2 linked regions of the Xenopus tropicalis genome follow. The protein of the gene in region 1 purifies or fractionates together with the protein of each later gene. This does not show direct contact. Links are inferred from orthologs where the notes say so. Each region holds a gene or a part of one and is shown in the gene's direction. Other genes may lie near its edges.

What was found.
Region 2: the proteins of dcaf7 (region 1) and sowahc purify together in Homo sapiens (affinity purification with mass spectrometry; 4 studies listed by BioGRID and IntAct, counting the BioPlex papers as one, with this or other methods). This does not show direct contact. The link is inferred for Xenopus tropicalis from reciprocal best matches to the Homo sapiens genes DCAF7 and SOWAHC.

Annotation. Positions count from the first base shown.
Region 1 is NC_030686.2:16,437,480-16,441,232, reverse strand, and holds the start of dcaf7 (DDB1- and CUL4-associated factor 7), read left to right. Parts: upstream 1-973; 5' UTR 974-1,046; coding exon 1,047-1,184; intron 1,185-3,463; coding exon 3,464-3,622; intron 3,623-3,753. Other genes in the region: uncharacterized protein LOC116407961, read right to left, coding at 1-309. UniProt on the Homo sapiens protein: Involved in craniofacial development. Acts upstream of the EDN1 pathway and is required for formation of the upper jaw equivalent, the palatoquadrate. The activity required for EDN1 pathway function differs between the first and second arches.
Region 2 is NC_030678.2:111,887,726-111,891,478, reverse strand, and holds the start of sowahc (ankyrin repeat domain-containing protein SOWAHC), read left to right. Parts: upstream 1-1,184; 5' UTR 1,185-1,699; coding exon 1,700-3,067; 3' UTR 3,068-3,753.

The DNA of each region.
Region 1 (3,753 bases):
GATGGTGGAGTCATGAACATTGACATTGGCCAATGCAAGAGAGGCCTTTAGTTCCTTAGATGTTAGCCCTGGGTCCTTTACGATTTCCTGGAGTATTACTTGTCTTGCTTTTGGTGTGATCTTTGTTGGCCGTCCACTCCTGGGGCGGGAAACAACGGTATGGAATTGCCTCCATTTGTGCACAATATGCCTGACAGTGGAGCGGTGGAGTTCCAACTCTTTAGAAATAGTTTTGTAGCCTTTCCCAGCCTGGTGAGCATCAATAACAGTTTGGCGGAGGTGTTCAGAAATCTCTTTTGTTCGAGGCATGACGCACTTCCACAAGCGTATGTCGCGGATATCAGACTTGGATCCTGAAAAAACGACAGATTGCAGGGCCTAAAGTTATAGATTGAGAACAGCGACTTATATCTGACTCCTGCTCAGGAAAACCATAGTAGTCACAATCTTGTAAAAAAACATATACAGCTGTATATACATGTAAGTCACTATAAAGGTCTGCACAAATACACTAAACTTCTATGCAACGGGTCGTCTGGAACTTGTTTTTTTGTAACTAGGAAAAGAGACCAAAAACCAAGGTTTTTACAGGCAACCAAAATGTATAAGAAAAAAAACGTGATAACTACCTGAAATATAGAATCCGGAGTACGTTCAATAGAATGTTTCTGTAAAATAAACCGCGACTCTTTGCGTTCCACGCCTCTCTCTACTGCAGGATGTTGACTGCTATACACCAATCAGAAAGCGCAGGAAACCAGACATACAGGAAATGAAGTCTAGACAAGCGGCATAACCCAATCAGCTCTTCGGTTAGAAAAGCCCTCCCCTTTTTGCAGCAGTAACAAATCAAAGCGTGAGAAGGGGTTGGAAAGAGCCAATCATCGGCGCTGTACTGTGAGCGTTGTTTTGTTTCTGGGGACGTTCTGGTTGGCTTGTAGTTTGGCACCAATAAGAGGCGGCCGAGAGCAAGCGCCTGCGTATCTGCTTCTAAAAGGCTTCGGCGATCGTGTCCCGGTAACCGTGTTAGCAAAGCAGCTCCAGCCATGTCCCTGCACGGGAAAAGGAAGGAGATTTATAAGTACGAGGCGCCATGGACCGTCTATGCTATGAACTGGAGTGTGAGGCCGGACAAGAGGTTCCGCTTGGCGTTGGGGAGCTTTGTTGAGGAATATAACAATAAGGTGCCTAGAAGTATGCGCTTAGTGTAAAGGGTTAACTATCCTTCCCTCCTTCAACTGGGTAGAGTTGCACTACATCTCCCAGAATGCTCAGTGAATGTGGATAGTTCTGTGTTACAGCTGTGTGGGTTGTATCCAGATGATACACATATAACATGAATTCAATCTGCTTGGTGTGTGTGTGTATGTATATATATATATATATATATATATATATATATATATAATATATATATTATATAAAGATTACAGCAGTAAACTGTCATTTAGATCTATTAAAGGGTCATTTAAAAACCCTCACACAATCTGCTTATAAATACATTGCTATGTAAGTGTACAGTGACCTGACTCATGTACAGACTGTGTGTTTTGCTTTAGAGTAGGATTTTAAACTGGGGCCCAAATCCAATTGAGAGATGAAGTTTTAAAGGCCAATCACATCAGGACTTAGGGATAAATTATTTCTGGTGAAGGAGGGGGGCAGTGGTCTAAAAATGTCTGACAACCTCTGCCGCTGTGGCCCCTGGAACAAAGATTAGATTATGAAAATGTAGATCTATCCAATGTGCTCCCCTTCTGATGGTTTTTTTTCTGGAGTGCCCAATAGATGACTGACTAAATGTTTGGCAAATAGATGCCAGGTGTTGGTGGGGCCCATACACGAGACTTGGTCTGGTGGGGCTGTGTTGGTAGTTTGTATCAGTGTATGCCCAGTGTTAGCTTCCGCTTGTATAAACTGCATTTGTCTTCAGACAGGGCTGCAATGAGGAATCCCTGAGCCCCATACCTCTAAAGCTGGCCATACACGCACCGATAATATTGTATGAAACCTCGTTTCGTACGATATTCGGTGTGTGTATGGCAAGTCGGCGAGTCGACCGGTATCGCAGGAGGCTCCTGATATCGGTCGACTCGCCGATCGGCCAGGTCAAAAGATTTTGATCGGGCACCATAGAAGGCGCCTGAGCAAAATCTGACGTCAGGGCTGAATCGGCAGAAGGAGGTAGAAATCCTATTGTTTCTACCTCCTTATCTGCCTTTTCAGCCCTGAACGGTTAAGGTGGCCATACACGCACCGATATTATCGTACGAAACCTCGTTTCGTACGATAATCGGTGCATGTATGGCATGTCGGCGAGTCGACCGATATCGCAGGAAGCTGCTGATATCGGACGACTCGCCGATCGGACCAGTTTGAAAATTTTGATCGGGCGCCATAGAAGGCGCCTGACCAAAATTCTCCTTTCAGAGCTGAATCGGCAGAAGGAGGTAGAAATCCTATTGTTTCTACCTCCTTACCTGCCGATTCAGCCCTGAATGGTGTGTGGCGGATCTTACGATGTTTCGTGCGACCGATGGTCGTACGAAACATCGTCAGATCGCCACGTGTATGGCCACCTTTAGTGGCGGGTCACGTGTGTGGCCACCTTAAATAGCAGGGACCTCCCCCCTCCAGGTAGAAGTAAAATGGGGCCCCTGGAAACATGAACACACCCTGATTATTGGCACATTCCAGATTCAGCTCCAGTTGCGTCCCACCTTAATACTGTAAACCCACCCACAATTCAACCAACCCACCTTCTCACCCACAAGCTCTGACCCCCCGAATTGTACAATCAAATCTCTTGGGCCCCTGGGTCAATAACCTTTGTACCCACCCTGCTGGCAGCCGTGACTTTAGGAGCTTAATACCATATACATAAATTATCTCCTTTGTATTGTAGGGGGGGGGGGGGGGGGGATATTGCATAGTTAATAAACACCAAGCCTTTTATAATACGCAAATTAAGTGTATTTCACCTAATTATCAACTTAGGGTATGGTTAAGACAGCTGCATTCTTAGACAAGTGGCGATAACTCTTCATTTTATGTTTTGTTGAGGTTTTAAAACATTTTTATATCTCTAGCTTCCAGGTTTGGCGTTTTTGCTGCTGTTAGTATCACTTTAGGAAGTGAAGTCATGCGAGGGCTGTGTAGTTATGTTGATAAGGCCCTCTCCCGATGGGTTGCCACAGGTCCAATTGTTTGGCCAAACGATCAAATAAATCCAATTTAGCCAAGCATGTGAGTGGCCACATCAAGCAAAAGCCCACTAGTTTGGTGATCCCACAAATTTAGGTGATATCTGTACAGAAATGTTTGCTGTATGAATGGTAATGCTAGGAAGTAGGAGTGGCTCAGGTCCTGCACGTGAGTGGTTTAATTTGTACCATTTCACTGTATTAACCAATCTTTCATTCAGGAATTGATTTTTCTTTCTTTTTTTTTTTTCTTTTTTTAGGTACAGCTAGTAGGACTGGATGAAGAGAGCTCTGAATTCATTTGCCGAAACACATTTGATCACCCGTATCCTACAACAAAGCTTATGTGGATCCCCGACACTAAAGGAGTATATCCAGATCTGTTAGCCACCAGCGGGGATTACCTCCGTGTCTGGAGGGTAAGTACGAAGGCAGCGACTACAAGCCCAAAATATGAATAATGATTGATAATGGCACCCAACAGAGTATTAGCGCTTGAGATTAGAGTGTTGATAAGTGTCATGTTGCTTATTCTGTTTCTCTCTTTATC
Region 2 (3,753 bases), on another chromosome or scaffold:
GAGAAGCTCTATTAACTGATGTATTTTGAGAAAAACATGTTTTCCCATTGCAGCATTACTTTAACTAAGGCAGTGGTATTGTTACACCAGTTTTTCCAAGAATTTATAAATGTTTGAGCCAAGGGGGCCCAGACCTTCTGTGAAATGGGTGTTAGGTTTAGGTCTGTGCAATACCAGTAGTACTGATGCCTGGAATGATTAGGCTTCTTTGCTGGAATTGTGACCTGATAGGTATATTCTTCAAAGTGCCTGCTTATCAGCCTGAGGTCCCTGAACAACTTGCACTCGGAAAGTGATACAATTCAGGAAACAGAACATATAAGCCATGTGCATTTGGGGCTTTAATTGCTGTTATTTATGTTAAAGGGTCTGTTCAACTTAAAATTAACTTGTAGTATGATGTAGACAATGATATTCTGAGACAATTCGCAATTGGTTCTCATTTTTTATTATTTGTGATTTTTCAGTCATTTAGCTTTTTGTTTATCAGCTCTCCAATTTGGAAATTCAGCAGCTATCTGGTTTCCAGGGGCCTGTTTACCTTAGCAACCAGGCAGTATTTGATTGTACTAGAAAAAGAAAATAAATGATAAAAAGTAACAAAAAACAATGAAATTGTAAGCTCACAGAGAAATAGTTTTTTGGCTTCCAGGGTCAGTCACCCTCACTTGAAAGCTGGAAAGATGTAGAAGGCAAATAACTTTACTTAGATTGTAAGCTCTACGGGGCAGGGACCTCCTTCCTACTGTGTCTCATACCACATGGCACTTATATATATATATACATATATGTATTTATTTATTATATCACTCATCCTCCCTGTGTGTAATTTTGTATTCTGTAAGATTGTACAGTGCTGCGTACCCTTGTGGCACTTTATAAATAAAGTTATACATACATACATACATACATAACTTGAAATACATAAAAATAAAGAAAACCAATTAGGTCACATTTGATACAATACTAAAAAATGTTTACTCAACTATAATAATATACAGGTAGTATATGACAAGATGTAGGCCGTGAAGATTTCCAATCATCTATGCCCTGGGCAATTAAGGTTACCCTAACTAAAAGTGATTGATGGGAAAGCTTCCCGCTAGCCGTGTAGTTAACAGAGTTGGAATTCCCCTGGATGCCCTTGAGTTCTCTTCGTTTTCCCTTTCTGTGCCAACTTTAATAACAACAGACCCGAGGCAGAGGCCAAACTATGACTGAGGGTCGCAGGTCAAGTTCATCTGCAGCTGAACATGCGCCGAAGATAAAAGAGCGATAGAGATCGCATAATTCATCCCACGACCGCCTGTAGCTTTCCCAACTCAGCTTGCTCTGTACAAACAATCTCACACAAGCCACAGGCAGATGGGATAAGTCCGTGACTGGTTCGGCGCTGTATTGGGCGGGGAGCTCGGACGCACATGATTGGTTTAGAGTTTCAGCATCGCCCCCATCTACTGAAAGTGGTGCAGCCCACGTTGGGTACCAGAGAAGGGAACAGATTTTGTAAGTCATCGATGCGGGGGAGGTTGGGGTTTGATTTGAACAGTAGCTTTACCTTACACGTCGCCGCACTTTCGGTCCGTAGCTGTGTCTCTATAATTCCCACGGGCACTTGCCTTGCCCGCCCCCGCCGAGCCTACCCGCTGGGAGGAGCTGACATGCCTTGTTCCAAGCTCGCCGCCTTAACCGCTCAGTCATGACCGGGCTGAGTCGGGAATCAGTTATCCGCTTCCTAAGCGAGCAAGGCGGCCGGGTACCAAATCAGAATCTACTGGGACACTTCAAGGAGCTGCTGAATGAGCCGCCAGCGGGGGAGTCCCGGGAATCTGTCCGCAGCCGCTTTAAGGACATTGTGAATGAATTGGCAACCGTGAAGGAAGAGGCCGGGGTGAGATATGTCTGTCTGCGGAAAAAATACCGAGAGAGCGGAACGGGAGCGCCCTCATCAGAGAGCTCGGCTAGTGACCATGAGGCGGCCAGCGAGTCCCCAGGGCACAGCTCCGAGGGGGAAAGCAAGGACTTGCCGTCACCTCCCAGCATCTCCGTCACCGAAGCCCCAGGGGGAGCCGCTCAGCAGCCGCAGGAGAAGGAGGGAAATAAGAGCGTCCCCGGGTCACTAAAGCAGTGCCCTGGCTCCCCGGAGGTTTTCCTTCCCAGCGGTAGGACTCCAAGGGGCAGCCGCAGGGGTGTGCGGGATCCCGTGTCCCCCCAGTTCCGCCGGGGCCCCCCGCTGCTTCGGGCCGGGATGCGAGACTCGGACAGCTCGTCCCTTCACAGCTCGTCTTCGGTGTCGGGAAACGAGGAGGAGGAGGGCGGCGCGGCACACGGGCAGGCGGCACTGGACCCTGTGGAACACGCCTGGATGCTCAGTTCGTGCCGGGGCCGCTGGGAGAGCTTACGGGAGCTACTGAGCAACGAGCCCGGCCTCATCACCCGCAGGGACTTCATCACCGGCTTCTCCTGCCTGCACTGGGCCGCCAAGCACGGGCAGCATGAGCTCCTGGCTGCTCTCCTCTCCTATGCGCACCAGCACCGTGTGCCCGTCAATATCAATGCCCGGGCTGCGGGGGGTTACACGGCTCTGCACTTGGCTGCCATGCACGGACACCTGGACGTTATTAAGCTGCTCATAGGGGCATACGATGCCGATGTGGATATAAGGGACTACAGTGGCAGGAAAGCCTGGCAGTACCTTGGCCCAAGCACGACCCATGATGTACAGGGGCTGGTGGGTGCTCTGCCCAGCGCAGGGGGAGAAGAGGAGGAAGGAGGGAATACGGGCTCGGGCCGCTGGCGGCTCTCTAAGGTGCTCCCCTCCCAGCTCATTGTACACCGGCTCTCTCAGCTACCGGAGGAGCAACCGGAAGGGCCCGGCGCAGGAGGCAGCAGAACAGATATCTACAGGAAGGGGTCTGGGGTAAAGGGGAAGCCAAGACTCAATAAAATCCGATTTAGGACTCAGATAATCCATAACAACCTGTCCTCTAGAGACACTTATGAGCAGGAGGATAAACCTCTCAAGAGTCCAATGAGGCTCAGGCCAAAATCCAATGTGTTCGGGTGATCTTAACATTAAACGCATCGATTTTCTATCTCAATGGGTGGGATAGTTATTATAACAGAGAGAACCCCCTCCAGCTACTGCACAACCCAGCAGTCTACCTATGCTGGAAGCTGGAGGTTCCTTCCCTACAACCACACAACATGGGGGCAAATCAGAGTGCACCCACCTTGCTGCACTGAGATGCCTGGCATACTTGAACTTGTTCCAGTTGATTTGGAATTCAGTGACTATCATAGAAATAAGCTCTGAGTGAAAACTGCCTTGGAAATTCTGTGGTGCTGCTAGACAATCTGCTGGCCTGATTTACTCTAGTAGCCATTATTTGTAGCTCTTCTTAAATTGTAGTGCAGACAAGTGCACATTTCCAGTTTTGTGATATTGATAACCAATTCTTTTGTAACTGTTGCTGCATCTTTAGTAATGTCACTCCTGTCGTGCCACCAATTTTAATACTGTAATGTATGCTGGCATATATATTATACGTGACCAAATGTTTGAATTTATCTTTGAACTTTAAAATGATGCACATTGTACTCTAAAATGTGCTCAAACCTTGCTCACTGCCTTTCAAAATTTTTAACCTAAAGCTTTATGGTGGCCATACACAGCCATTAGACTTATTGGCTTGCTGAATCAGTCCCATATTAACAGAGAGAGAGCCATAATTACTAGAACTGCAGGTAGTG